Alligator mississippiensis: one gene and its partners. The protein of the gene in region 4 interacts with the protein of the main gene of each other region in a pairwise test. Links are inferred from orthologs where the notes say so. Each region holds a gene or a part of one and is shown on either strand. Other genes may lie near its edges. The genes, in order: FHL5, KIF20A, DNAJA3 and ATOSB.

Evidence for each region.
Region 1: the proteins of ATOSB (region 4) and FHL5 interact in binary tests that used the Homo sapiens proteins (3 or more experiments, as listed by UniProt). The two-hybrid records come from large-scale screens. The link is inferred for Alligator mississippiensis from reciprocal best matches to the Homo sapiens genes ATOSB and FHL5.
Region 2: the proteins of ATOSB (region 4) and KIF20A interact in binary tests that used the Homo sapiens proteins (3 or more experiments, as listed by UniProt). The two-hybrid records come from large-scale screens. The link is inferred for Alligator mississippiensis from reciprocal best matches to the Homo sapiens genes ATOSB and KIF20A.
Region 3: the proteins of ATOSB (region 4) and DNAJA3 interact in binary tests that used the Homo sapiens proteins (3 or more experiments, as listed by UniProt). The link is inferred for Alligator mississippiensis from reciprocal best matches to the Homo sapiens genes ATOSB and DNAJA3.

Annotation. Positions count from the first base shown.
Region 1 is NC_081824.1:82,616,208-82,623,485, reverse strand, and holds the start of FHL5 (four and a half LIM domains protein 5), read right to left. Parts: upstream 3,002-7,278; 5' UTR 2,806-3,001; intron 1-2,805. UniProt on the Homo sapiens protein: May be involved in the regulation of spermatogenesis. Stimulates CREM transcriptional activity in a phosphorylation-independent manner.
Region 2 is NC_081832.1:79,521,969-79,529,717, reverse strand, and holds the start of KIF20A (kinesin-like protein KIF20A), read right to left. Parts: upstream 3,009-7,749; 5' UTR 2,944-3,008; intron 2,911-2,943; exon of another isoform or gene 2,800-2,910; 5' UTR 2,792-2,799; coding exon 2,624-2,791; intron 2,547-2,623; coding exon 2,460-2,546; intron 2,379-2,459; coding exon 2,259-2,378; intron 1,886-2,258; coding exon 1,747-1,885; intron 1,647-1,746; coding exon 1,459-1,646; intron 1,384-1,458; coding exon 1,242-1,383; intron 1,083-1,241; coding exon 888-1,082; intron 212-887; coding exon 100-211; intron 1-99. Other genes in the region: BRD8 (bromodomain-containing protein 8), read left to right, coding at 3,163-3,181, 3,314-3,410, 3,754-3,823, 5,000-5,049, 6,361-6,483, 6,741-6,821, 7,077-7,141. UniProt on the Homo sapiens protein: Mitotic kinesin required for chromosome passenger complex (CPC)-mediated cytokinesis. Following phosphorylation by PLK1, involved in recruitment of PLK1 to the central spindle. Interacts with guanosine triphosphate (GTP)-bound forms of RAB6A and RAB6B.
Region 3 is NC_081836.1:25,253,436-25,260,877, reverse strand, and holds the start of DNAJA3 (dnaJ homolog subfamily A member 3, mitochondrial), read right to left. Parts: upstream 3,013-7,442; 5' UTR 2,998-3,012; coding exon 2,799-2,997; intron 722-2,798; coding exon 585-721; intron 1-584. UniProt on the Homo sapiens protein: Modulates apoptotic signal transduction or effector structures within the mitochondrial matrix. Affect cytochrome C release from the mitochondria and caspase 3 activation, but not caspase 8 activation.
Region 4 is NC_081826.1:301,003,482-301,011,368, forward strand, and holds the start of ATOSB (atos homolog protein B), read right to left. Parts: upstream 3,010-7,887; 5' UTR 2,953-3,009; intron 2,944-2,952; exon of another isoform or gene 2,866-2,943; intron 2,205-2,865; 5' UTR 2,178-2,204; intron 1-2,177. UniProt on the Homo sapiens protein: Transcription regulator that may syncronize transcriptional and translational programs.

The DNA of each region.
Region 1 (7,278 bases), on a different chromosome or scaffold from region 4:
AGGCCAATTAAAGGATCACAGCTGGCTTGTTTACAGGACTTACTATGCTTAGTACTTCCATGCTTCAGCTCCAAGCCTTTGATTCCAATGCACTTTATAAATTATTAATAAACTACTCTTCATCATCTCCTTGTGAGACAAATATTACTTTCATTTTACAGAGGAGGATGCTGCAAAATCTTTATCTTACAGATAGGTCATGCAAACAGTGAAATGACTAGGGCAAGATCCTGCTTGAAAGTCTGTGATAAAAGGAGGAAAATACACCAGACTTAATGTAGTAACTACAAATTAAGACTTAACATTACAATCATTTTAAAGCCCTTGGGTGTTTAAAAATGTATGGATGACTACTGATATCACTGAATTATTATTGCATTGGGTAGTATGATCTGGTAAAGAGCTGGTGCACTAAAATGTTCCACTTATTAACTTGATAAGCCAGTAGTTATGGTTTAACAAAGCTAACATTAGCCGTGTTAAACCATATGCTAATGTTAAAATATGGCTAACATTATGCATAATATGAAACTTGCTTGGGTGCACACTTACATGCACCCAAAATAGCAGATAATTCAGCAAGATAATGGATTGTCTACGTTAAGAAAAGCTGAGAAGTGTCCAATGCTTTGTAAGCATCATCTATCATGACAGATGCTATGGATGGCTTAGATTAATACCTTTAAAGCTGAAGAGTGTCTACTTAGCCTGACAAGTTCTTCCGATGGCATAACTGGAGCAAATTCCATTGCAATTTAGCATGCATGTACAACTACGTTTTAACTGATGATAAATTATCCAAAGTGTTTTGTGTACAAATTAATTAACAGGATGAGTAGGTGGCTAGAAGAGATAAGATTGTGAAGGACATTGATATATATTTCATGAGAACTACTGGAAGTACCATGACTAGAATAATGGGGGAACAAAAAGAAACTGAAATAAAAAAGAACCTGACACAGGAAACATTAAAACAGCTTCAGGGCAAAGAGTTGCAAAAGCCAAGCCAGACCAAGAAATACATGGAGGGAAATTTCTGAAGTCAGATTATCAGGAATCAAAGAAAAGCCTTAGCACTGGAAACAATGAGGTGGGACGAGCCACTACTTTGTCAGTCATCTTATAGTTTTATAAAATTGTATACATGAAAGAGCTATGAGAGAGATTTTTTATCATTTTCCATTAGATTTCCTGTATTTTTGAAGCAGCTTTTGTGCAGTGCTGTTCAATTTCCGAAGAATCCTATTAATTTAATTCCTATTATATCAAACCCTCCCTAATGGAAAAAAGTCTATAAGATAAATGGACTGAGATTTTCAAAGCCACATCCACAGATCTGGATGACCACTTCCTAATAAATGCAAATAAAAAAATGGAACATAAGTGGCATTTCATTATTCCTATTTACAAAGCCTGCTTGCAGACGTAACCCCCCCCCAAAGTAAACGGTGCTTTACTTTATACTCTGTGCACCCCTGTGCTGAGTCAAGAGGCATCATGCCCACAAGAGGCATCATGTTAGTTAGTTTTCCATGTCCATCACAGCCAAAGTGTTGGGGGCTCCACAAGAACTATGAAGCATATATAACTAGACTGGAAGAGATTGAATTCTTAGAATTTCTCTATGTGGCACCTCTCAGAAAACTGACAGGGAAATACTCACAAAAAGTAAATTTGACCCCATCTTTTGCTATTTACACAGACTTCAGCTTTTAAAATTAAACCGTAACAGCAGAAAATAAATTGTAAAGAAAGCTGGCTTTACCGGCATGTGGGCAAGAGGACATCTTAAGGGATTTATGATATCTATCAAAAGTATTCCTCAAACTTTGCCTACAAATAACCTTGAGATACCATGGGTCAAAACTGATCCGTCGCTCCTTCAAAAGCCCTGCAATTTTCTCGCTTTCAACTAGTAGAAGTTGGAGCTTCAGAGTGTATAACAAATATGTTGAAAATAGAGAAAGCTATAAAATAGTATACTTCAGAATATATTTGTGATTACAATATAAATTGTGTTTAATAAAACTATTAAGTACGATTTTGGTCTTGTATTCAAAAGGAAAAATGACTCTCTGTTACCTATATGAACATAGCACCAAACATAGTGCTCTCTACTACCTATATGAAATCAGGTAGCACCGATTTTATATTGTATTGTCCTTCAATTATGGATAATTTCCATCTTTTTATCCATAAATGCAAAACTTTTTTTTATGCACCGATACATCTCTTCAACCTAATTGTAATCCTTTAAATTCTAAATCTGTATGAAATTTAAAGGGACATTTGAGAGCTCTCCCCCAATGGTAGATAAATATCCAACACACATTGTCCCAATTCTATGAGAAAACAAACATACATTTTGTTAATTTCCTGAAGAGATGATGGTAAGGTCTAGTTGCTCTTTTAAAAAAAACAAAAAACGATAGTAATTAATAATCTAATTAATAGCATGGATATGATTAAACTTTCAAACAAATGTTGGAGCCTCTTCTTGGTATATCTTAAGAAAACTGTTAAAATTTTCACACAACTGCAGGAAATTTGAAGAAGGTGCATTTTAAAGGAAAAATTCAGGAAAAATCTACTTTTTGATATATATAGCATATGCCTTTATCTTCGTTAAGTCACTGTAATTAATTAAAACAGTCTATTCAGAATCAAAGATGAAATTAGAAGTCATGTGTAAAGAGAAATTCTTGCTTAGCTGTTCATAAACTGTTCATTGGTCACCTGGTACCCTGGCATTTCAAAATGTTCTCAAATAAAACAGGGGTAAGAGAAAGGAGATACAATACTTACATTTGATTTCAAGCTGCTTCTGTTGGTGACCGTGTAGCAAAATAAAGGAAGAAAAATAAGATGTTTTCAGAAACATTCATCAAGTCCAAAAGAAACAGAATTGTTTGCCAAAGCTATTTAAGAATCCCATCAGAATTTGGCTCGGTGGAAGTAGGCTGAGGGTCAGCTCGTTTCCCTTAGACCTTGTGACATGCAGATAGCTGGCTCCCTCAGCTCTGAAATCAAAACAATTCTTTGACATAGTATGCTCACACACTGTAGAAAAATATATATCATGTACAATGTTCTTAAAGGAGCAAGTCTCAGAATGAGTTTTGAGAACTTTTTCAAAGAAAAAGCACTTGGACAAAACCTCTGCTTCCCCCACTCCCACATATCTCTTTTCCCCCCACAAAACAAAACCGAAAAAAACGACCATTGCAAAAGAAACTGAACCTATTCATTCTTTAACCATTGTATATTGACTTTCAGCAGTATTTCCATGGGACTTGATTGGGAAGTGAAACTCAAAACTCCCCACACCCCCTCCTCGATCTTTGGGGTGTTCTGAATTGGATTTGTCAGGAAGGGGCAGAGCAGGATGAGACAAAAACTCCAGTCTTTCAGTACAGAACCACTGGCATTACTATTCCAGTTTGATGTGGATCTTGTATTCAAAAGTTACTGGACAGAGGCAACAACAACCATTCCAGTCACAAGAACTAATGGCTCCTTTCTGTCCTCTCAATGCTCTCATACTTAAAATGTGTAAAGGGCAATTTTCCCAGCATTTGATAAAGTGAACAACCTGAATGGAAAGTCTCCTGCAGACACTGGGCAGCAAAAGTCCCCATTTTGTGTGGGGACTTGGTTGAACTTCACTGGAGGAAAAATTCATCTATTGTGAGGAACCTAGAGGAGAACAAGAGGATCAGGAACCACCAGTATGGATTCACCAGGAATATTGTATCCATTAAAACCAGAGTGAAATTAAACAGTGGTTCAGTTATGGCTTGAACAACTCAACTTTACATCATCAGGCCCTCTGTGCACCACTAATACAACAATATATTGAAGGGCTACATCAGGTTTGGTAGCTAATGTTTCACGGAGCAGGAGCCCTGTTTTATGAGACAGCCACAACAAATACATGCATCTCACCTTTCTTTAAACAAAAGCATTTAGTACATCTTAGATGATGATTAGTTGTCACTTCTAAAGAAATGTTACCAGATACTTAAGATTATACTCCAAAAATTGCCAAGTAAAAATGCAGCAAATTATCATCCAAATCACTTTGTCAGAAACCCAATACCAATCAAAGTAACACACAAAGGGCATGTCTATGTGTTGCCATATGGTGACATTGCTACCATGCGTGAAGTACATGGTTAGATTTTGCTGTTCCATTGCCGTAGCAGCACACTATACTGGGGGAGCAGGTCACTACGGCGATGTAGCTGGCGATCATGTGTAGCCCTGCGTGATCACTACGGTGCCGGAAGGCAATGTGTAGATATACCCATACACTATGTTCTTGCCATGTATAGAATGAAATACCACAGGAAGTAAGTTTCTCACCATGTATAATAACCATTAGTCTTTTTACTAACAGTTAGCAAACAATTCCAATTTTTCCAACATTTTTGTTTTTGTAAGTCATGTTTCCTAGTTTGTAATCATTTTTGTTGAATACTTCTGATCTTCTAATGACGTTTGCTGGACCCTTTTCAGTTTGTTCACATTTTTCTTCAAATGTGGTGCCCAGAACTAGATACAGTACTCAATCAGTGCTGAACAGAATGGAGGAGTCTCTTCCCTTGACTTGCGGGTGGGGTAACATTCCTGTTAACACAACCCAGTATGCTATTGGATTTTTTAGCAAAAAGAACAAGCTTTTGGCTCATATTTAGCTTGCAGTCCACTATAACCACCGTAGTTCTTTTCTGCAGTACTGCAGTCATTCCCCAGTCCCTATTAGCACATTTAATTGTTCTGATTTAAGTGCAAGACTTATAGAATTTCATTTGATTAATTTTGGACCATTTCTCCAATTAATCAAGGACATTCTGAATCCTAATTCTATTTTCCAAAGTGCAAAATTCACTCTCCCCAGCTTGGTGTCACCTGCATATTTACTAAGTGTACATTCAACCCCAGCTTCCAAATCATAAATGAAGATATTGAACAGTACCAGACCCCATAAGAACCCCACTAGATACCTTTACCCAATTAGATCCTGGAAATGTTTTTCAGATTATACTTGGGTGGGGAAAATAGTCTTAAGTATGAGAAAGAAAAACGTCTATTTTCTACAGTCAAACCTTCTAATTATCCGGAAGTTTCAGATGACCAGTGTTTTTGTCTACGACTTTGCTTTAATCAAGGTGACGTTACACCTTAGTCATAAACCGTAATAACAGCATTTAAAAATGCGAGCATTTGCACTTTAAAGCTCATCAATTTTTAAGTGCAGTCCAAGCATCTCTGGGCCATGCAACCTAGCTCATGTTAGCTCCTAGTCTGCTCCATGGAATTCAAACAACCAAGTTACAGTCCTCCAGCATCCCAGGAAGCACTGCTTCCAGCCCCTCTCCCTCCCCCACAGAACAGGGATAAGAGTCCAGGCATCCTGGCTCGTAGCCATACCCCCCCACCCATCAAGCCTCAAGTGGCAAGTCATAGCTGTGCAGGCAAGAAATGATATCTGGGAAGGGGCAGGAGACTGCTGACCGGGTTTTTCTCCACGATCCTCTTCTCTCACTGCAGGGAGAGAGAGGCTGGCCCCAGGGTGGCAGTTCAAGATCAGCCTAAGCCTGAAGATCAGGGTGCGAAAAGGGCCCGGGGAGTGAAGGGGCTGGAAAAGGACTGAGAGAGGGCACGCTGGGAGAGGAAGCGTCGGGGAAAGCGTTGGGGAAATGCCACAGAGGGAAGAGCCAAGGCAGAGAGCCTCAGCGTGGCTTGCTGGGAAGGGGAAGCTGCAGCAGGACGTCAGCCTGGAGAGGGGCTAGCAGCGAGCCAGGGAGCAGCTGGGCAGAGTGGCTGCGAAGATCGGAGGAGCTGGAGGAGATGAGGCAGAGCCAGGAAGCCTCGCATGGAGAGCAGAGCCATTGGCACGCCCCAGTAAAGAGCAGCTGGGCAGCTGCACGTGGCTCACCAGAAAAGCTGAGCCAGCTGTGCACCCTGGTGAAGGATGGCTGGGAAGACACATGTGGCTTGCCCAGAGAGCTGAGCCAGCTGTGCACCCTGGTGAAGAACTGGAGGGAGAAGGGCTCAGAGCTCCAACTGGACGGGCAGCATTGGAGCCCAGAGGTACCCAGTGGGGAAGAGTGGGGACGGAAGCCAGGAGGCAATGCCAGGCCTAGCAGGGAAGCCCCAACTGGACCTGAGGCTAGTCAGAGCTCGGAAGTGATCCATTGGGGTGAGAGTAGACCCTAGGAGGGCTGAAGCCCTAGTGATGAGGCAGAACATGAAGTCCCAAGCAGCATCGAGGCCAGGAGCGGTGGCTGGCTGGGTGGGTACCTGGGGGCACAGCAAGGCACTAAGAATTCCCACTCAGAGTATGGCAAGAACCGATAGCCACAAGTCTATACCAGCGGAGGCTGGTCAATTGTACTTTAAATTAATTCCTAAGTTATTATTGAAAGAATTGCCTAAAGCAAATCTGTGATGAGGTCAGTCACAGGGATGTTAGTCCATGCCAAAGGATGGCTGACAACAGGCCGACAACTTGGGAGCAGCACATACAGGCTCTTCCTGGAAGGGGCTGGGCTGGGATGCGCTTGGGGCAGGCAGCAGTGGCAGTGCTGGGAGGCCAGCTATGGGGGCGGTGGGGGGCTGCAGCCACCCCATTCACCACAGCCTCAACGCCCCCTCCCAGTGCTGCCAGTCACCCCGACCTTCCCTGGGTGCAGGCTGGCCCAGCCCCTGCCAGGAAGACCCCAGAGCAGCTCTGGCCCCAGTCCACAGCTGCAGCCTGCTCTGCCTAGATCTGGGAGGCACATGCCTCCCCACCAGGGTGCACACAGTGGCAGGCGCTGCCCTGCCCCCCGATGAACCATGGCTCCATCCTGAGCCCTGCCACGGCTGTGCAGCCCCAGCCTCACTCCCTCCCTCACTGTGGAGGCATTGATCTACCCCCACCCCCAAGTCTCTTCTTTCCCCCCTTCCCTTCCACCACAACAGACTTACCAGCTGGACACAGCTCTCCATACTGCTGAGCTGTGCTATGTGCTGCACTATGGCTGCACGCATGCATGGGGCATTTATTGGCCACATTATTGGCCACATCAGGCCAATTTCCGATGCAGTCAATTTTCTCTATAACAGTGCCGATCCAATATCGGACCCATGTATTGGTGCACCTCTGCTTCCTTGATTCACATTCTTTTTTTATAAAGTGCAGACAATCCCCTCAAACATTTTGTGGAGAGTGCAGAGTGAGTGGGGTAAGAGTGGAGATTGGGAACAGAACTGCTGCCTTGCAACCCCTTT
Region 2 (7,749 bases), on a different chromosome or scaffold from region 4:
CGACCACCTCTGGCACCAGTCCAGCACCTAGTTCCATAAAATGAGCCCTCCCCGCCACAACCTGCTGGAGACCATTCCTCTCCTCTCCCTGCCCCCAACCTGCGGCTGGAGTTCTGGTTCAGGTGAGTGCTGGCAAAGCTCTGGTTTTTCTGACCCAGCTTCAGGAGCTTCCAGGCCTCGTCGGCATCTTGGACGTGGATCCAGTTCAGATCTGAAAGAGCAGACAGGTGGGAAAGTGGTACAGATAGACGTGGTTTGCCTTCCCAGGCCCTGGCTACCTACCGCATCCTAGGCTTCACTGCTGCCAACAGCCAAGCTGAACTTCCCTGCATTGTTTGGGCCTCCTGAGGGATACCAGCCCAAGTTCAGCAGAAGGGAACTGCTGACTGTGTATAAAAATGCCCTAGGGCAGCGTTTCTCAACCCATGGGTCGAGACCCAAAAGTGGATCACAAGAATATCTCAAAAGGGTCACAAACAGACTTAAAAAATGGATTCTCCTTTTCCCACAAGAAAAATGCAGGAAATTGTGGCTTTTCCCTTGCAGAGTTTCAACCTATGAGGAGCTGTTTGGGTCTCTCCCACCATGCCCCACCCCCCTTCCGCCCCCCATAACCCACACACAGGGGGGCTGGGGCCTAGCAGGTCAAGAGTGAGAGGCACTGGGGCAGGACTGGCCGCTGATGTTCACAAATGGGTCCTGGTACAAAAAAGGTTGAGAGCTGCTGCCCTAGAGCAGTATCCCTCCCCCTACTACTGCTTGCTTTCCATGGGCGCTCCTGGCCACTCGACATTTCTCTTATCCACCCCAGGTTACTACTGTCTCCTGAAGGAGAGAGAATGATCCAGCAGGGTCCTTCCCCAGAGTGCTGCTGGGTCAGTTTCTACCTTTGACATAGGGATTGCCGCTCGGGTCTTCACACAGCCGCAGCGTCTGCCTCTTGCGGTTCGGGCCAGGCAGAGCCGGCTCTAGCAAGTCGTAGATCTGTTCGTTGTAAATCTCAAAAAAGGAGACCCATATGGAGAACTGCACGTCTCCCGAGGCATGGAGCGAGACACAGTCTGGATCAGCCCAGCGAGACCCTAGGTTTCAGAGGAGAATCAGAGGGGGTGGTAGGGATTGCAGCAGCCCCAGCAGATTGGAGGAGACAAGGGAGAGTTTCTACCCCTGCCCAAAGTGTGCTTCATCCCCTCCTACCCAGGACTTGCCCTTCCCCCGGCACAGTAGGGTCCCAGACATACTGTCCAGCTGGCTGCTCTCGGAGTGGTTGGCAAATTGGCTGGTAGACGAGAGGCCACCCACTCCACTGTCATAACTGCTGCTAGTGGCAGCCTGGAGCTGGGACTCGGTGTTGTGGCTCCTCTTCAGTGGAGTCAGCAGCTCCTAGGAAACAGGCAGAACGTGAGGCTGGTGCAGGGCACCCTCGTCCTTCCCCAGCGGACGGAGAAGAGCACTCACCTCCCGTAATCCCCCGTGCAGCAAGGCCAGCTTCTTGGTCTCTTCTTGTTGAACCTGCCGGCTGTCTAGCCAGGCCACCTCGCTGGAGAGCGAGGGCTTGAGATCCATGGCTCGGTAGAGCTGCTCTCCCACGCTATTGAAGATGAGTGCTAGGGAGCGGGGCAGAATCCCACCGTCCTTGCTGCTCCCTGGAGGAGAGGACAGCAGTGAGCAGAGCTCAGTCACAACACAGCAGCACTTCTTCCCTCCGAGGAGACCAGGTATGCCAACACCTGATGCCTCGCTCACCCTGGATGGTGTGAGTCTTCCCCGAGTTGGTGATGCCATAGGTATAAACCAGCCAGTTTTGCCCGTTCAGCACATCCTGCACCAGCTCCTTCATGGTCGCGTCAAAGAACGTCTTTTGTCCGACGTCTGGGCCGAAGATCTGCAAACATGATCACAGGGGCGTGCGCGGGACTTCCCTCTCCGGCCTGCTGCAGCCCTGCTCGTCCTGGACTGCCACCCACCTCCGACCCCACCCGAACCCCGGCAGAGCCGGCCCAGGCTGCTCCATCCACATAATCCTAGGAGCGCTAGACGTGCCCGGGGGCCAGCTGCGCCGGGCGCCGACCGGACAGACAGCAAGACGAGGGCTCCTGCTCCGCGAGCACGAGACAACGCGCAGCAGACGGACGCAGGGACGGGGCGGGGGAAGGGAGACACCAGGGGCTGGTGCGGGCGGCCCCGGTGCCGTCAGCGCAAAGCTGCGTGAACGGCAGGGCCGCCGTGCCGCGCCGCGCCCACGGGCACCCACCTACCTGCGTGAAGGTGAACCTGTGCGCCGCCTGGCCCACGCCGCGCTCCGTGCTGCGCATGGCGAAGGAGTCCGCGGGCGCCCGCAGGAGCAGCGTCTCCGGGCTCTCGATGCAGACGCAGCCCTGAGGAGTGCGGAGCCTCAGCCGGGGCGGGGGGCGGGGGGCGGGGGCCCTCCCCCCCCAAAGCCGCCGCCCCCGCCTCACCTGGTCCTCCCGCTTCTCCAGCTCGGCCGGCGTCAGAGGCCGGACCCGCAGGTGCACCCTCAGCCTGGCACCGTCCTCGGGGTCCGCCTGCGGAGAGCGGGGGTCACACACGGCCCCGGGTGAGGCCCGCGAGCGCCGCCCGGCCCCGGCCCCGCCCCCCTCACCTGCGGGCCGCCCGCCGCGGCGGGCCAGATGGCGGAGAAGTCGGAGAGCAGGTCCCGGCGCGCGGCCCGGCCCAGCTCGGCCGCCGTAGACTCGAGCACCGGGGACGACGCGGCCTCCTCGTCCGAGAACAGCGCGGGAGCGAGCGGCGACAGCGCGGCCTGCGCCATGGCGGGGCCTGCGAGAGAGAGCGGGCGGGAGGGCGGGCGGGTCGGTCGGCAACAGCCTCCTCGGCCCCCGGCCGGCCGGCCGGCCGTCCTTCAGGCTGCGCTGAGGCAGTGAAGCCGCCCCCTCCCCCCGGCCCGGGCCGGGCCACGCTGACCTCGGGGGCAGCAGCGGGTGCTGTGGTTTCAAACCGCGCGCTCCGAGCCGCCGGCCAATCAGCGCGCGCTCCGAGCCGCCGGCCAATCAGCGCGCGCTCCGAGCCGCCGGCCAGAGAGAGGCTGGGGGCGGGGCCGGGCAGCCTTCCCGGCAGCCCGCGCGCCGCTTCCCGGCGACCTTTGCGGTGGGCCCCGCCTCTGGCCCGGGCCTGGCGGCGAAGATGGCGGCGGGCACGGGCAGTGAGTGCCGTGGGGCCGGGGACGGGCCGGGGCGGCCCGGGGCGGAGCGGGGAGTTGGCGGGCGGGGCTGGGGGAGCCGAGGGGGGGCAGGCCCTGCCCGCCCGCCCCTGAGAGGCCCGTCCGTCCCCGCAGAGCACAAGCTGCTGAGCGCCGGCCCCACGGAGCCGTGGTCCGTCCGCGAGAAGCTGTGCCTGGCCTCCTCCGTCATGCGGAGCGGCGACCAGAACTGGTGAGAGCCGCGGCGCGGCGGGGGTTGGGCCGTCGTCGCGGTGGTGCCGGCTGCGGGGATGGGGACGGGGACGGAGCCGGGCTGCGGGACAAGCGAGGCGAGGGCCTGGCTTGTCGCTGCCGTTCAGCAGGACTTGAATCCTGGCTCTGTTTGCGCGGGCCGGTGCACGAGCCATCAGCCGTGCTCGGGCTGCGCTTGGGCGCTGGCCAGGCGGCGCCGCCGCGAGCAGGGAAGCTGTTCAGGCGTCGCAGCGGCGTCAGCTCGGCGGGAGCAGCCCGGTGTGGCTTGAGCGGGCGCTGGCGAGGGCAGGAGGCAGGGCTTCACCCGCTTCTCTCCCCCGCAGGGTGTCAGTCAGCAGGGCCATCAAGCCCTTTGCCGAGCCGGGCCGCCCACCTGACTGGTTCTCTCAGAAGGTAAGGGGGAGGCGGAGGCACTTCCCGCTGCCGGGGAGCTCTTGCTCAAGGGACTCCAGTTTCGGCCAAGTAGAGGGGTAGAAAAGTGGCCACTTAAAACGTTAAATAAGACTTTTAATTTAAACGTCAAACAGCTTTGCTTCGTTTTTCTCTAAAACTAAAATTTATATGAAAGCATATGTGAAAATAAAACAAAGTATATTGTTTTATGGTCTAAACTTGATATAATTTGATAAAAGGGTATTAGACAGAGCTAACACATTACACGCATGCTACCAAACTTCAAAGAAAGCAAAATTGCTAAATTTGTGGGAGACGAGTCTTTGGATAAATGCGATATCTCTCATCAGACCAACTCAAGTAGTTGGAAACATTCTTCTAAGCCAGCTTTTGGGCACAAACACCCTTTGTCAGGCTGAGGAAGCATCCGCAGATGGTCTGTGCTCTTCCTGGGTGGAGTGATATTGGATTTACCCAACGAGCCTTGACCTCCAGTGTCCTTAGACCAACGCGGCTAGGTCCAACACCCCTAAATTTGTGGAAGTCACTGTCTGAGCACCTGGCCTTGAGTCTATTGCAGCGCCAGCCAAACTGTTGCACAAGTCTTCTGCAGATGAAAAGAGGTGTTTTTTCTATTTCACTTATTCAGCTCATTCAGTGCGAATAGCTAAACGATATAAATGCAAAATGGGATTATAATTTATTATTTAAATCAAAGATTTTTGGTTGTTGATTTGAAATCATAGTTTAGATTTGTAATTTTAAGCATCATGTTGTATTCAACCTGTTCTATTACTAGCACTGATATTTTGGAGTATGACTGTTCAAAGATCAGGATCTTGGAAAACCAGGGGAGGACGTGTTAATTTGTGGGGCCACCTTTTTAATTTAATTTATTCTTTCCTAGTTTTTATTTGGCATTACAGAGCTGACTCTGTGGTGCTAGCTGACCCTCCTTATAGATGCATTGGGTACACAGCAGCTTGGGAAGTCACTGCAGCTTCCCATACTAGTACTGTGGCAGTATTTTCCTGCTACAGTACTAGTATGGGAAACATGAAAACATGCTCAAAGGCTACCTGGCTGTTAGAGGAGGGAACCCAAGAGCTTTGCCAATAAACTGAATTGGCTGTGTTGACTGTTCTGTGTGCTCTGACTCCCTCTGTTTCTCCTTAGCACTGCGCATCTCAGTATTCGGAACTCCTGGAGACCACAGAGACTCCCAAGTGAGTGCAAAGGCTGAGGCATGTGGTGTCTGCAGTACCTCTGGCGGGGCGGAGGTGTCATCAGTGCATCAGACAGTGCATTGGCTGCTACTGAGCAAGGAGGCGCAGGCACGGCAGAGAAATCTGGTCACACTGTGTGGGTGTGGAAAGTGAGCAGAGTAGGGCCGTTGTTTGAAATTACCCCCTAACCTAACAGGAGATGCTGGGTAGGTAATATTACCTAGAGCGTTTTGCTCATTTTTGTATGTTTTGTTACTTAGCTCAAAGGACTGGACCATTTCAAATGTAAGTGGTTCTAGAACTGGTCATTGTGCTATCCTGAGTGCTCATTCACACCACTCCTGTACTCATCCCTGAACCAGTGGGTTACAGGTATTGAGGCATCTAGGCTGCAGTTCCCAGCACAGCTCTCAGCTTGCTGGTTTGAGGAAGCTAGAGAGGCAACATAGTGTGTGGTAATTTCTATAAAAATGCTGCTTTTTTAAAAATAACTTACTTTTAAAAGGACATAGATTGCATACTAAAATAGCTTTGTTCTTTTTTATACAGCAGATCTTAAAATGAAACAAATTAAACTTATAAAACAAAAATTGTGTGCTTAAAATTACAGCTCAGAATACTGAAAATTTGGGAGAATAGAAGCTAGTAAGAATGATGAGCAGGAGAGCTAATATTTTATGTTGCCTTTTATGTACCTGCAGTATTTGAGGATTGTTTAGGGAGGGGCAAATGAAACCCTATTCTTCTCCTGGACACTAGCTTTGTACCAGTGAAAGCTGTAGTGTTCATCTCTTGCTCTGAATCTGGGCACTGGTGTTGGTAATTGATGCCTAAGGAAATTTGTAGTGTTTGAAAGTAGTATTTATGTCTCTGCTGTGCATAAATGACTGACATGGGCTTCTGAGATGGATTTATACGTAGGCATGGATAGTAAAAGTCTTTTTCCAAAGTTGAATTAACGAGGGTAAAAATTTGACAGGAATGCAAACACTCCTGGCCTAGGTTAGTAACCACACGTGTTTCGTATGAGTAGAGAAAGGCATTTGCTCTGTGAAAAAGTTAGTGTAGAATTGTCTGTTATGGGTTTTTTCCACACCACCTAAACTGCTGTCAGAAGGGAATCTGGCTAGGCAGACTTTTCAAGAGAAAGTGATTTTTGCAATGTGAGTTCCAGTATTAGTGCTGGGAAAAGGTGAGGGGGGAGAAGGTACAGATGTGACAGATGCCAGGGCAGCTGGTGCTGTTTTCAGGAGGACTGGGGAGGTTCCTGTGATTGGTGCCTATGTTTGTTTTCTGGCCCTTGTTCTGTAGGAGAAAGCGCGGTGAGAAGGGGGAGGTGGTGGAAACGGTGGAAGATGTCATTGTGAGGAAACTGACAGCAGAAAGAGTTGAGGAGTTGAAGAAAATGATAAAGGAGACACAGGAGAAGTACAGGTAGGTATTGTCTGCAAGTCTGTGTAACTCTCACTGCTCTGAAGGAGGAGGTCTGGCAGGGAAAATTGTAGGGAACAGGAGGCTCGCTTGGAGCAGCTGTGCAGAAGGTGTAGGGTCAAGTGACACCTTAAAGACTCTTTTTAATTTCTAGGGTACCACCCTGCCATGCCTTCTGCCTATCTTCAGACTAATGGGGTTAACTACCTCTTTGGAGCAGTTAGTTGTAAAATAGCTGAGGTAGTTCTGTCTGTTTGTAGGCAACTGAAGAAAGATGCAGAGCTGATTCAGACTGGGCACATGGATAACAGGCTGGAGGACCTGTGCAACGAGATTATGATGTAGGTTGTTATCTTACTATTTTTTTATTGCACTTTCCCATGAGATAGCCATGCCCAAGGGCTCTGAGAATTAGTCTTCTCTCTCTTGCCACTCTGTTGCAAGGCTTAAGAAAAGCAACTAAGCTGGATGGATGCAATGCCCTTAATTGAACCTTAGCTAGCAAAGACAGATCAAGGATGTGGGTGTTTGACCTGCTGCTTATGGGGTGGCACCAGGTGGATTTGTGTGACCATGGACCCTGTTTCTTTGTGCAGGAAGAAAAAAATGGAAGAGGAGGAGGCAGAGGTGAAGAAGAAGGCTACTGATGCTGCTTATCAGGGTAAGGTGGGACTTTGCTTGCTTGTTCCTCCCCACACAGGAGCTGCTACTGAGAAAAAACATTTGGGACAAATTTAAAGCTGATTCCAGATCTAATCTGAAGGCAAAAGGACCAAGGGTGTCTCTTTTCTTTGGCGCACGGGTGTCATAGAGAGGGGAGCACTCAGTTTTCAGTGCCAGAGTGCAAGGAGACAAAATGAAGACAGTTTAAAGTCGGACAGTTGGGGGTCGGACTCGATGATCTATTGAGGTCCCTTCCAACCCTAACATCTATGAATCTATAAAGAAGGGAGTGAACTGAATAAAGGTCTTAGCACATGGGTCTCAAGGCAAGGTGGAAAGTTGGATTTCTTCTTTCTGAATGAAAGGAAAAAGGAAGCAAGACACTAGTCTGTAAAGAGATGTTAGAGGGGTCAGGGTTGAGTTACTAGTCACTGCGGGCAAAATTTAGATTATTGCTTGAATCTCCCACAGGGAAAAGTTGTTCTCCAAATTTGATCTGCTTCATAGCTCTTAGGACAGTTCAAGCATGGAACCAGTGCCCTGGAAGGTTGTGGAGAGGTTTGAAGGCAAGGTATTAGCAATTACTCAGTAGGGATTAGCAATTAC
Region 3 (7,442 bases), on a different chromosome or scaffold from region 4:
AAAATGAGGAACATAATAAAAGAAGCATCACAAAGCTTTTCCACATGAGCCAGCCAATCAACACCTATCCATTGCACGCAGGGCCTGGCTCACCAAGAATGCTCTTAATATGCATAATGACAAGAGTGAACCATAACTATAATCTTGCTACCAATGACTCTGAAAGCTTATTTTTAGAGGTTTTTAAGTATAAAAAAAATTTAAAGAACGCAAAAAGAAAGGCCACAGAAAGATACCAAAAATAAAAATCAGCATTTTACTAATATTTATGAGTTTTGTGGCTTTTGCCTTCCCTGATGTAAAAGATACTGGCCACTGCCCAAAATAATATATTTAACCAGGGACGACTGTGTTGAATCTATCTGATGGCACTGAACTTCCTTTAATATATTATCGGCCTCGTTCCACCATGCAAGGAAAAAAAAAAAATCACTAGCATGACAGTACTTGGAAGTTTTTACTTTGGTATATTTCAGGTAAGAGTAAAAAGTGGGTCATAATACACTCTCCCCAACAAGACAAAATTCAAAACACGAAGTCAATCATGAAATTAAACCATTTTCATTTTTCTTTAGCATACATGCCTGGTAATAGGCTTTCTTGATCTCCTTTTGGGTAGCAGTTCGAGGAACTCCCAGTATCTGGTAATAATCTTCTTTGGTGCAAGAGGAGGAACCAGTATGAAACAAGGCATTGCATATTAAAGGATAATTTTTAGTTCCTAAGAAAAGCCAGACAGAAAAGAAAAAAAAGTCAAAACAAGACAAATTGTAAGAAACCACAGACCTTCCGCAGAACCTTTCCTGGTGCTTCACGGCCTGCTCTTGTGTACAGGTTTCCCCCGCTTTATACTGTAACATGTGTTCCTGGAAAATGGTGCATAACTCAAATTCGCATAAAGAGAACCGACTTTACAATGTAACAAATAGGGATACATTCTAATACCTCGACTTACTGACCACCAGACCCATTTCTACCACTTTTACAAGGTAATTTTGGTACTCACCTACAGCAGACAGTACACACAAGCACAGGGCATAATCATAATGGGGATGGCAACTACAGAAACGCATGTCGTAGACAATGAGTGAGGAGCAAAGATCCACACAAGAGACTATATTTTGGAGTGGGTCACTCCCACAATGCACCACACAAAGCAGCTGACTGGGCTTCCACCACGCCAATCACATAAGAATAAATTTACCTCGCATATAACACATTTTTGGTATAAAATGGGTCATCACATAAGAGCAAATTTGCATGTACAGAACCCACATAAAGTGAGGGAAACCTGTATTAATAATCAAGACAGTTACACTGAAAAACTGCATGGAATACTCCATCTGTAAAAGGTAAATAAATATGAGGGGTTTTTTAGAAACCATTTCTTAATCAAAAACAGCTTCTACTTTTTTAACTTCAATTTAACTGAAGATTGTAAAATGTATTGAAGCTTACACAGGATGCTTAATTTGGTACGTGCAAAAAAGAAATTTTATTTAGAAAAATATATATATACCAGAGCTAAAATTACCACGCCTTTAAGATAGTGATGGGTGCCAACAACCAATGCAATAATTATAGGGAGAATTCTGACACAATTTAAGATTTCATTCACAATTTTTTTTAGCAACATCCCTGTATGTGGCCAACTTCTGATCACAGCAGACAGTAGATATGTGGTGGTGTGACAAAGAAGCCATTCTACTTTTCACAGAGCTTAAATCATGAGATACCATGGAGTAATATTCAATTAATTTTCTAGCATTTTATAGTTTTAAGGTAAGACTAAAACCTGTAACAGTGAAGTTACAGGAGACATGCAACTAACTTTAAGAGAAGCAAGCATTTACTCTTCCCCAGACTCTTGAAAACATGAAGAGATTTTAATGCAGCTTTAGAAGCATTCTGCAGGTAAAAGCAGAGCAGTCAAATAATTTCATATCTTAATTCCATTATTCTTCACAAAATAAGATCTAAGAGATGAAATTTCCCTCCATTTTGTCAAGGCAGATCTTGCTCAATAGAGGCAAAGAGGTTTGCCCTGTCCTCTAAAATGAGCAAGATGAAAACTCATTTTGACCCCCTGAAAAAAAAAGAAGGAATTGAAATGGTGGGATTAATTTACCTGGCTCCCAATGGCTTGACCTTGGACAGAGAAGGACAGCTGACCCTGCTAGCCTGTAGGACTTGTGCTATACATCTTTGATTTATCTAGCCTATAAAACATAAGTCTGCCCCACCTTCCCTCTAACCCGGACAACACTAACTGCATCGTTGGTGTCTTCAACACTAACTGCGTGGGTAGGCAGCTTTGGGGTGGGCCTCACACAGGCCAGGCTCTAAAACGGGAGGATGTGAGGATGAGGAACAGGGGCTTAAAGCTGATCTGGAATTTGCTGAGACGGCACATGGCGCCAGTCCAACAGGCTCCCGCTTATTTACAGCACTCAAGGATGGGCTCGTGCACGTCGGCCCTTCCGAGGCTTCCAGCCAGCGCGGGGCAGAGGGAGACACGGCCCGCACCGCGCTGCAGGAGAGGGCCGAGCACTCCCGCCTGGGGCAGCCTCCTCCCCAGCTGGCAGCGGCACAGCGTCTCCGGGCCCTGCTGCCGCCGAACACCCGCACGGAGGCGGACGCAGAGGCCGTGACTTGAGGGCCGGGCCAGGCCGCCTCCCACGTGCCTCCACCGTCAGCACGGCAGGCAGAGCCCCCGGCGCCCTCTCCCCCGGGCCGCGCGGAGCCAGCCCCCACCGCGGCGACGGCCTCGCGGAGCCCCCGCCCGGCCCGGCGCTCACCCGCGGGGCTGACCCCGGCTCTCAACGTCAGCAGGCGGCTCCCGGCCCCCGCCCGGGCGGGGAAGGCGGCGGCGGGGGCGGCGCTGAGTCCCCGGCTGAGCCGCAGCAGCACCAGCCGCGCGGTCCTGCCGGCGCCCCGGACCCCCCCGAGGCCGGTGGCCGCGGCGCTCAGCCAGCGCGGGGAGCAGCCGGCCGCCATCTTGGCCCGTGCGCCGCGCTGCGCCTGCGCCCTCCGGCCCGGCGCACGCGGGCCAAGGCGCGGAGCACTGCGCCTGCGCGCAAGCTTTGCCCGGCCGCGCGCGGCGAGCACTGCGCATGCTTCCGTGCCGCAGCAAAGGGGGCTGGGCTGCGGGGGGGGTTCGTCGCGCCCGTCCGTCCCCTCGTGGAGAAGCCGGTGTTTCCGCGTCTCCTGTTGGCCCCGTATTTTTAACAGCTGCCTCGTGCCCGGGCCGCTCCTCCTGCCCTGAGCGTGCCGCGGCGCCACGCGATGCGGCCCAGGCCGCTTGAAGGTGCCACTGTCTACCCTGCCCAGCGAGACGCGCTGCCTTCAGCTTCTGCCCGGGCAAATAGACCCGGCGGATCGTGCTGGCCGCAGGCTTTCTCATCCCCAATCTCGGATTGTCACTTTCTCCCTCTTGCTACCTGAGAGGCCTTTTTGTGGCAGGCTGGAGCTGCGCTTGCTTTCTGCCCATTTCCTTTTTAAAACAGCAACTAGACATTTGACTTGTGTTTTTTATAAAAATCCTTTATTTGTGGTCCATTAGTCCAGGTGCTGCATCTGCTTTGAGCTCCCTGAAGTCCAAGGAAACAAGCCATTTGTAGAAGACTATGTCAGTTTAACATCAGGTGCAAAATGGGTCTGTGCTGTACAACATGCCTGCTCAGCCTGCACTTGTGCACCTGGGACACACGCAACTTTAGCAGATGCTGGAGCTCTCTCTCCCTTCTGCCCTTGGCTCACCTCCTGCCCCAGGGGAAGGGCGAGGCCATTATCAAAGCACTGGAGGTACATTAAGTGCAGCTATTTGCTCTGTCCGGTCCTGGATCCAGGAGATCACATTCCAACTGGCTATGTCTATTTCTGAGCCTTCATGCGCAAAACATTACGAAATGCAGTCTGGCTTCTTTTTTCTTAGGTTATAGATTTTGCATTGTTAAGCAGTAGATTATGTTGTTTTCCATGTTATGGTAGTGAAAGATCATGTCATTTCTGAACCATCATGGCTATGCCATCGCTCTTACACTACCACGACATGGAAGACATTGAAATCTGACACTTAAAATGGAAAATCCACAACCTAAAGAAAAAAGAAGCCAGACTATACCGTAACAATTTCTTAAGCTTACATGGCTGTGCCTGGCTTGTTCTGATCAGGGCTGATGAAGAATGTCTTGCATTTAAAAGCTTGTCTGACTCACAACTACACAGCTGATCCAATAAAATATATCATCCTAAGAAATCATTGCTACTCTTTAAGAGCAGAGAATGCACATTTAGAAATAGAGGTGGATTCATGACAAGTACACAGCTGAGGGGAACATGCACTTCTTAATTAGAAAGACTACCTTTAAGTAACTGAAAAGAAGCCATGTTATGTTTCTCCCATCCCCATAGGTACACGTGGGAAGTGATGATAAGCAGTTGGTGAAGAGATAAGGTATATGATATCCTAATATTAAATGTGGGTAGTGTGAGAGTAGGATTTTGGGACTATCAACATCTGTGTGGAGTCTTGCTTCACATGTTTAAGTGGGTATGGGCAGTATTGAAGCAACTGTACTTATGATCTGAATTCCTAAAGAACCTTCATCAGAGAATCTCAGAGCAGTAGACATGAACTAGTTAGTTATCTTAATATTCCAAGAAAGTAGGCATATCCCTGTTTTACAGATGGGGAAACTCAGGCACAAAGCAAGCCTGATATTTTTTTTAATAACTTCATTTTTTAACAGTAACTTTGCAGTTGCCGACCTTGTGGTTACCAAAGGTCATTTCCAAGTAAGTAGCAAACTGCATGTCTGGTAGGTAGATGTCTAAATGTTAATTGTAACAGATGCCAGGCTGAGATCCTTTTAATAGTTTAGTCCAAAGTAATACATCCAGGTCACACAGCAAGTTAAAGCTGGAAGCAGAACTAAGGTACCTGGAATCTCCAGTGTCATCCCTATCTGTTTCATTGTAAATTGGGTTTGCTTTATGTGAATTTGATTTATGCACTGTTCCCTGGGAAGGCATCTGTTGCATAAATCAAGGGAAATCTGTATAAATACCTGCCAATATAACATGTCTCAGGGCAGGGAGGTCCTACTGTAAGGACTCTCTCATATGAAACATGGTTTTTATTGCTGTCTTTTCCTCACTTTTTTCCTTGAAGAATGGGTGGAGGCATAGGGATTGGCTAGTTCAGAGGGTGGGGAATAGAGTAGGGACCTCTCCCTTCTAGAGGGCACCAGCAATGATCTACCTCAGGCAGGGGCACTGGCTAACTGTAGGGCAAGGAAAGAGCAGAGGGACTTTTCCACTCCCAGGGTTATTAGCGGAGCAGCTTGCCCATTCTGTAGATACAAAGTGCCCTCTCCTCTCTCCCCTGCAGCAAGTTCAGGTTTTGCTGAGCACATTATTTCCTAGGTTGGACTCATCTGCAGAGAATGAGCTGTTTTCACCTTGGACTAAGCTGCTGGGAAGGGCCTGCTTGTCATGTGGGCAAGATGCAGGAACCTACCAGGATCATCCCAACATGGAAGGACTTGAAATCCCAGTATAACCGTTCGGTACTGTACAAGGGTTTTTTTTTTCAAAATGCATCCCTCTTGGGGACAATCAGTGACACCTTCTTGAGCATGCTTGGTAGGGTAATGGTGATGGCTGGTGGCCCAGTTGGGTCAAAGAGGTAAACTCTATCCCAGGAGCCAGGTTTGAGAGTGCAGCCGCTAGGCCCAGAGAGGAGTGATCTGAGGAAAGTAGGGGCCTGGCCTGGCCCAGCCTCACACCCAGCCCATCAGAGCTGGGGCCTGTGACTGCCACTCCAGCTGTGCTGAGCCCCTAGAGGCCCCAAACCAGGTCTGAGCCCTTTTTTCTTTTTTTGGGTAGCGGGGCACACATACAACTCCCTAGACCAGAGTGGGCTGAGCAATAGGTGGAGACCCTCAGAGCCTGGGGGCTGGCTACACAAAGGCCTCATGCTCCACCTGCACACACTATCTCTTAGGGAGGCTGGTGGCTCTTGAAAACAGAAAAAAAAACTCCCCATCAAAAACCACTTTATCTTCTATATCCCTGTCTATCTGTGAGGAGGCAGTTGGAGCCCGGCTTGTGGTGGGGCAGTATTGGTTTGAGATGCTAGCTTAGCCTTGTCTCCTAGTGCCAGCAAAGCCTAACCCCTCACAGGAAGGAAATAGTGCTTCTGCTCTTAGCCAGCTCAAGGCTTACACTGGTCAAAGACTCCTGCTCAGTCCTTCTTGATCAAAACATCTTTAGAATACCAGGCCTGCAAGCTGGGTTGGAAAAACTATATAGTATGTCTGTCTGACCCTTTGAAATAATTTCCTTCTGGCTCTGTGAGATAGTCAAAGGGCATCACATTTGCTCCTGCAAATGAAGTAGCTTTTCAGAAAACAGCTAAATATGGGGGACACTTTAGTTTGCCAGTGTAACCCTTCTGCTAGGCAGTGGATGGCAACAGCATGGGTCAAATTTAGATGGTTGTCTTTTGACACACATTATCCAACTTAGCTCAAGCCCCCACCCAGAAACCTGAAGAAAAAAATGCTGCTTGGTACCTCCAGTGTGAACACACCTCCAACTTGCAAGCAGTAGCAAACTTACAGTTACATAGGGTCTCATAAAAGTGAGACTTATAAGCAATCTTGGAGAAGACCGTAATGGTCTGTAGTCTATCCCAACTAAGTTTTCATAGTATATCACAGTCAGTAGGACCAGATTTCTCCCCTAGTTCCATGCAGGGACAACTTGGTAGCTAGGGCAGACAAGGTAGCTGCTGTCCCCAATCTTTCCCCTCTCCTCTCCTTAGTGTAACTGGTACTCTGACAGAGGATAACTGCTCAACAGTTGCTACTGCCACTCCTCACCACATCTGAGGTTCTCTGCTCCACTGGTGCTGCTCCTGGCACCGCTCCTTGTCACCACTGGGAATTGCTACTCCTCTTCCTGTTGATGAAAGCACACAGCTTTTTTAGACCTTGGGCAGAATGCTGGATCCCCTCTTCTAGGATCTAGTGCAGGGGTGGGCAATTTGGGGCCGAGGGCCATCTAGGGAGTTTTGGGGACCTGTTGCAGAGGAGGTTAGCGCCCCACCCTGCAATAGCTCACCAAGCTTCCCTATGTGGAATGGGTCTGCAGAGGGGGAGGGGAGGAAGGGAGATGGTGTGGGTGTGGGCAGCAGGTTCAGTGTCCAGCTGCCATTCTACCCCAAGGAGAAGCTTCCCCCAGTCCCCAGGGGGAAGCTGCTGCCTGTGTCCACAGCTGATGCCAGTGCCTGCCCAGCATTGCTTCTGGCGCATGGGCCAGGAGCTGGTGTAAGCTGTGGCACTGTGCTGGAGGTACAGGACAGTTTTTTGGGGAGGGGGATATACAGAGAGGCAGCTCTGCTCATGATAAGCAGTAGTGGCCGGTGCTAGGCGCCT
Region 4 (7,887 bases):
CTCTCCCTGCAGACTCAGGCATTACAGGTCTGCCAGCAGCCGGAAGGTGTCTGGGAACTGCAGGCTCAGAGCAGCGCTCCCATGACAGCGGGAAAGGAGCCTCCCTGAAAGGGGAAGAGAAACAAGCTGAGTCAGCGACAAGCTGCAACGCAGCCGCAACCGGGCCCTGGACAAAGCAGGCACCGGGGAGAAGCTCCAGCTGACGGGTTTGTGCAGCAGCGCAGGCTCTGGCGTGTGCCAGAGCCAGGATGGGCCAGGCCAGGAGGTTTCTGAGAGCAGGCCAAGCACGGGGAGGCATCTCCCCTGACCCCGCACCCTTCTTAGCTTCACAGAGGCATGGATGGATGTGGCACTGTGCTCCCCATCCAGATGGAGCAAAACCAGCTGCTTTTGCTGGTCTGTCCGCAGCCCTGTGGGGCGACTGGATGCCGTCCACTCTCTGAGGCCGGGCCAGGAAGAGGAGAGCTGCCAGACCTTCGACTGCACGTCGTCCCTGCTGGAACGGAGCAGTGCTCTGACCCCCCAGCTCCTCGCACAATGGGGGGCTGCCCTCCCCTTAGGGTGGAACTGTGGCTTGCAAGGCACTACAGGTCCCAGCATGCAACGGTGCCTGGGCCAGCTGCTCAAATACAGGGGAGCAGCATTGCATGCTGGGACTGGTAGTTTTCCACAGGGCCTCTTGCAAGACACAGGGCCCTGCTACAACAGACCTAGCTTTGCTGCTGTCCTGCGAGCTGGAACGAGGCTGAAAAACCTCATTTCCATCATGAGCCGCCTTAATCCTCCCGACCCAAAGCCCTTTATAACGCACCACATTAGAGCCTGGCAACATGGGAGCCAAACAGGCAAATGGCTCCTGTCTAGCTCCAGCGAGGAAACCCTGAGCACAGCGTTCCAGGACCCCAGCCCAGGTTCAATGGCGCAGGCAAAGGCTGGCACCTTAGCGCCCCTGGATCTGGAACATGCTCTCCTCAGCTTGCCACAACCCAGGCTGCTCCCTTTCTGCACACGCACAAGCTGACAATCCCCAGGGGCTCAGCCCCTCTCCGCATTCAGGGTTTCCTCCTGACACAGCTGGCCCCCACATTTCACTGCCTCTTCGTCCCCAAGGACAGCGCAGGCTCAGTCAAATATGTTAAAAGCAGACCCAGGTCTGCACTGCAGTTCTCAGCAGGGTGCACTGGAAAGGCATCACCAGTGATATCTTTACATATTTAAAAAGGTGCTATGATAAAAAATACACATACACACAATATATATACATACACACACACGTGACTGATACAGTAGTGTCCAAATACGAGAGGCTGTGTATACACATACACACACGCATATATAAAACCTCTCACATTTGGACACTACTGTATCAGTCACACACACACGGCAGGGGACAGAATGATGCATCTCCCGCTCCTGAAACTCGGGTCTCACGAGTTAAGTCAAGTCCTACGGGAAATGGGACCCACTGGATTTTTCCAGCCCAATTTTAACAAGGTATTTAGGCACTTACAGTGATTTTCAAAGACCCCCCAGGTGCCCCAGCCCCACTGAGTTACTCAGGGCACTGGGAACCTATTTAGGAGCTTCTGAAGAGTCCACAAAGCATTTATCGGCGCTACTACCTGTATAAATAGCTTTACAGAACTGAGCTTCTGGGTGAAGAAGAGCACTTTGTGCCCAAAAGCCGGTGCAGTATCCCTCCAAACCACTGCTTCTTGTGCATTTCCTGGATCGCCACAGTCCAACCCTGCTTAAAAGCCTGCCCCTTCAGTGCTACCATTCCAGCCCCCGGGGGCGTCGATGCACACGTCCCCCCCGCAGCAGTTTCCCGTGGCAGGGGTGGGGGCCGAAGAGCCCGGCAGCCTGGAGGATGTTATCTACCAAGACAAACTTCCCGGTGCACTCTTGCCCTGAGCCTGTCTGGAGCGCCCCGCTTCAAGGGCCTGGCGCAGCCTCCACAGGCCCCTCGGAAATCACCAGGGGACACATTTCCACGTCCTGGTTCCAATCACCGCTCAGCTGGTGACAGCTCCACGGCACCACCAGCCGAAGCAGAGTCTGAACGCGTGACCTGGAGGAGAAAGATCCCACCTCCCCACCAGTACAGGCAGTTTCGGCTGGCTGGGCCAGCCCCAGCCCGACAGACCCACATAGTTAAAGGCAAGTCCTGCTCTTACCTGCAGGAATCAGATCCGCAGACAGCGCTGGAAAGAGAAGGAAAAGGATGGCAGAGGCAGGAAACACCGGCAAAGTCCTTCCCACACCCACACCCACACCCACCACAGCCTCGGCTCCCTCCTGCCCCCAAACTCCCCGGCAGGCGCGGCACCCCCGGATCCGCCCCACGGCCCGCGGGAGCAGGGGGAAGGGGCTTGGGGGGCACCGCGGCGCACGCCTCTCTCAGACCGTGCCCGGGGGCACCGTAACCACCCACGCTGACGTTCAACCCTCAACGCTGCCGACTCCCGGGGGGGGCGGGGGGGGCTGGGCGTCTCTGCAGGGTGCAAAGAGACGGGCAGGGCAACGCAGCGCACAAGCACCAGCCCCGGGTCGGGGCGTCGGGGAAAGGGGGCACCGCTCCAGTCATGCAAGTGCGGGAGAGGGGCCCGGCGCCCCGGAGGGAGAGCTCAGGGCACGAAACCCGGGAGAAGCGCCGGGGGGGGGGGGGGGGGGGGGGGGGTTGGGACCCCATGGAGCCCGGCAGCCCGTGGACTACAAGTCCCAGCGTGCACCGCGGCGCGCGCCGGCTGCTGCAAGGCAGGGGAGGCGCGATGCATGCTGGGACTGGTAGTTCCCCGTCCCCGGGGGCTCTGCCGCGGCCCCCCACTCGAACGCGCACCCCGAAGGGAGACCCCCGCGGCATACGTCACATCCATGACGCCACAGACGTCACGGGGCACGGCCATACAAGCGGCCGCGCAGCCACACGGGGCGGGCCCCGCCGGCACCCACCGGCGCCCGCAGCCGCTCGCCACCTCCTGCCGCCGCTTCCGGGTCCGCCTCCCGCCGCGGCCCCGCCCCCTGCCGCTCATTGGCGGGCCGGTGAGGCCGCAGCCAATGGGGGGAGAGCGCCGGCCCGCCCCCTCCACGTGCGGCTGTGTGATGACAGCGCGGAGGGGCGGGGCCCAGGGGCGGCGGCCGCTGATTGGCTGCATGGAGGGGAGGGGCGGGGCCGAGGTGGCCGCAGAGGACCCCGAGTTTCAACGTGACCCTTCACCTCTGACCCCTCCCCCCATGCATCTGTCTGTATCTCTGCATGGGGGTACACACGGCGATATAGAGATACAGATCAATTATATTGAATAAAATACACATCAAATACATAAAGGTAGATATAAAATATAGAATATATATATTTATATATACTATATACCTACAGATGATACATTATACATATGTAATATGATATTTCTATGTCATGTATATCATCACTAGCGCTACAGATGATTATACATCTACCTTTATCATCTCCAGCGCCACGTCTCTGTCTCTGTCCCTATATATGAGTATATACCTACCTACCTACCCACCTATATCATTGATATATGGCCTCCAGCTCCATCTAGGCCTCAGCGCTAGATAGCTCTGTATCTCTACACGCACCTGCAGAGGTGGAGACGGCATAGCCAGGTAGGTGCACAGTCGCCTATAGACGTACAGAGATGATGTCGATTCATAAACAGTCACAGGGATGCAGAGGTGGAGGTACCGAGAGACAGATAAATAGATCGATCGATCGATTCGATTAAGGCGAGGTTGCCTTCTGGGCTCTTCACAGCCCTGTAGGGAGGTAAGCGGCTCCAGGGAGCTGGCCTGCAGCAAACGAGGCGCTGCCTCCCCTCCCCTGCCCTCCCCTCCCCTGTACAGATAAGAATAAAACATTGTTCAGCAAAACTACCCTCACCCCTGACACAGCCCCATCACCCCCGACCCTGCCCCAGGGAAAACAGGGGGGCCACCGCCTCCAATGTCCTGCTGCTGCAAAGGGGTTCATAGATGCTCCAGAGACCCCCACTGCAAAAGAAGACAACCCCCCAGTCTGTACCATTGTGACCAGCGGGGGAAATTCCTTCCTGACCCAAATGTGGTGTCGGCGGGTGCATTGCATGTGCAATTAGCAGAAATAAACTGGGGTGCAGTTCACACCAGAGTCAGCCGCTCCTAGGTACGCCGTCTGCACGTGTGCCGGGGACCGCAGCAGTTTGAGCCAGGGCGAGCAGCCCTAGGCTGGCAGGGGGTCCGTGGGGCGAGCTGTGGGTGGCAGCAGCGGGCAGCGGAGGGGCTGGCTGGGGCACAAGGGTGCTATGGTGGGGGCTAGACGCCAGTCAGCTCCCACACTGTAGCACCCCGATGCCCCCGCCAACCCCGGTCACCGTCTACACGTGCATGCAGGTGAAGTAAATTACTCCACTGTAGGATAGTGCTCGTCCTGGACGGTACTATCCCACGGCGGAGTGGATTGCTTTCGTGCATCCTAATCGTGGCGCACGTGTAGATGGTGACGCTTTACCGCGGAGATCTATATACACGGTGTGTATGTATCTCTGTACTAGCCAATTGCCCATCAGGAATGACGGGGGAGGGAGGTCAGGGTTGGAGCGCTGCCACCCACCACCCCGCACCGCTGCTGTCTCCCAGGAGCCGGCGGATTAGCTTGCCCCGCCGTCCCCCTCCGCCCCCTCGGCCAGCACCCCATGCCGCCACCGCCTGTAGGGAGCAGGGCTGGGGGGGGGGGCGGTGCCCCCAATCCAGCTGCTCTGTCCCTGCTGTCATCGGCGCTCCGCCGCACCGCCACCTCCTGTCCGGAACACTCTTGGAGCACTCTGATTGGTTGTTTCAGACAACCAATCAGAGTGCGAATAAAGCGTTATGGACAGACAGACAGACTAAGGCTTTTATAATATTAGACTATATGAATATGGATTTAAATATAGGTTTCCCTCGCCAAACGCTGGGCTTAAGTTTCTGAAAGTTCCCGTGGTTGGCAAGACAAAAGGCTTATGGGAGAAATGGCAGGCGGCGGGCTGATGCGCAGCCACAGAAAACCGTGGTTACTCCAAACTGTATACCGTGGTTGCCAAAATGGTATCTAGAATATTAACTGTGGATACTCAAAACCTGTATGAGTAGGAAGGAAACCTGTATCTGAAGCTGGCTGTGTGTGGAGTCTTCCTTTTCTTGGACCCTTGCACGTCCGTGTCTACTCCTTATCTGTATTCTGTATCTATACATGGTTATAGATACAGATACAGACACGCTTTGGTTCACCTACAAGGTGCACATCTGCCCTGCTTTCTGCTGCGAGTAGCTGCCGTATGGAGCCCATGAGGGAGGGCGTCGTCCTCGCCTAGACATTGGGACCCCTGTGTCCATCGCAGCCCAGCCCGCTGGGGGACCCAAGCATGTCTCCGTCCTCCCCTGCAGCAGCCCGTGGCTGTTTGCTGCGTGGGCAGGGGAGGGTGTGCGACACCCGCCGCAAGTGGCCTCGGTGCTGCTGGGGCTGGTGGACGCTGGGATGCGCTGGCGTGGCGCTGCTCCGTGGCACTGCCAGCTGCTCTGTCCAACAAAGCAGGGCTGGGGCACCGGGATGTGATGGCCCCTCTGCAGACCACCTCCCCGCTTTGTCTTAGAGCTGTTGTTTCCCCGTCCCTGAGTGCAGGGTGGCGGCTGGACATGTGCTGCCTACTACGAGGCACCCATGTGGGGCTTGCAAACCTCTGGGAGGGAGCCCAGGAAGGGGAGGGGGCATGGCATAAAGCCTCACAGCAGCTCCAGAGGGGTAGCTGCACGGACCCCAGGAGTGTCCCCTTGCAAACGGGGGCGTGGGCTGGTGACGTGGCCTGTTTCTGGGCTGCGTGGCCCTTGGGGCTTCCCTCGGACGGGCACGTTTGGCTGGCTGCCCCAGCAAGGTCACCCCGGGGTGAGTGTGAGCACGCGCAGGGAGCTGCCGCGGCCTCTCCTTGGGGTGGGGCACGAGCTGCTCAGCCAGTTTTGCAGCTTGCCCTCCTCCCTGGATGCAGTGGCCCACGAGACGTGGGGCAAGAGGGCTGCCGAGAAGCACTTGACCACGAGCTGTAAAGAGGGCAGAGCCCACCGTGGCCTGTCCCTTCGGCCTGGCCTCCTGCTGCCGATGTGCCGGTTAAATAAACCCCCTGGGTTGGGGTTGGTCCATGGGTAGCACCCTACCACGGGCAGGAGCACTGGTATAAAGGAGCTGCGGGCACAAGCAATGCCCCGCCAGGCACTCTCCCATCCGCGTCGTGCTCGCACCCCCTTGCTCCAGTTCCAGGCTCACTGAAGTCTGGGTCTTATCCCTCCCCGAGGGGAGAAGGGATGCAGCTGCCTCACTTCTCTCCATCTTCTTCTCCGCAGCGTTGTCCACAAGGGAACAGGCTGCTTTCCCGCGAGGTCTCCAGCACTGGAACGACTCCGCCGCACGCTCGGACAAAGCGCAGAGCCACCTGCGTGGCTCGGACACACCTGGAGAGAGAGAAGGGCAGCCCCCGGGCCCCGGTTTCCCTCCCTGAGCTGGAGGGCAAGGCGCTGGGGCTGGAGCCTGCCTCCTGCTTGCTTTGCCTGTTTGGCTGCAGCGCTTTTATGGTGAACCCAGGCCGTCCCCGCCCTGCCCAGTGCCGCACTCCCAGGTGTGACGACCTGCAGCTCGTAGGGGGACACTTGGTCCTTGCAGTCTGGCCACCCCTGGAGTACGATTCGTGTCACGGTCCGTAGCTGCTCATGCAATGCTGCGCTGTCCCGTACTGTCTGGACGCTCTCTGGAGACGGATGTATTGCAGTGCATTGATAGAGTCCGTCTCTGGCTGTGCAGAGCTGCACGGGGAGCGCTCTGGAAGGCAAGCCCTGCTCGGGGAACGTGCCCCTCGCGGTGACTTCCCTGGGCAGCACCTGATGCTCGTGTCATAGCACCGAGCACCAGGGGCTGGGATCTGTGTCCCCTTGGGCGGGTGCTGGGGCTGGGGGTCCCTGCATCTGCACAGGGACAGTGGCAGCAGCCCCTGGCAGGCCCCGGGGCAGTGGGCTATCGTTGCCCCAGGTCTGCACCGAGCAGGGGTGCCTGGATTTGCTCCTGGGAAGGGAGGGGGAAGCTCGTCCTCAGCTCTGTGGGGGCCTCTGGGGCAGGTGTGAGCTGGCTGCAGCCCCTTCCCTGCCCTGCGTTTGCTCCTCAGGGTCTGGCCCATCTCTGAAGAGCCCCTGCCTGTGAATCGCAGCACCCCACGCTATCCGCAGACCTCCGGGCACCTCGCTTAGCAGGTCAGCATCGTTTTCACAGAGGGGGAAACTGAGGCACCCAGGAGCAGTGACGTCCTCGAAAGCCTCCCCACTGTCAGCTCAAGTCCCAGGGTGGTGCTCTACCCTCTGGAGCACGCTGCCTCCTCGATCCTGCCCCAGGCACCCTACAGAAGGGGGCTGGGAAGCCAGACCCAGGGCCTGGCTGGGCGCAGGGCTCAGGGGTTAAGCCCCAGGCGACTGGCTTTAAGGATCTCCCCTCTGCGCACGCAGCTTGGCAGCGCTTAGCCCACGCAGGGAAGAGACCTGCTGCCCTCCTGTGCCCAAGCAGCAGAAGCACACATTTTTTTTCCACGTTCCAGGTCAAATCAGCCAAATCATCTCCAAATCATACTGGATCGCTCCACGAACCGCACCGGCCGAGCAGGCAGACCTCAGCTGTTCTCAACACCATGCACGGTGCTACACCTGGCGAGCATCCTTCGTCCCAAGGTCTCACCCTGGGACCGAAATCCACGGGCAGGCATCCTACGTGCAGGCTCGACCTCACCTTGCACCTTGGCTCTGACCCAGGGCAAATGCTGGTGCCTGAGAGGGCAAACCCTTGGCTGGGGAGCTCTGTCCTGTTTCCAATTCCCAGGG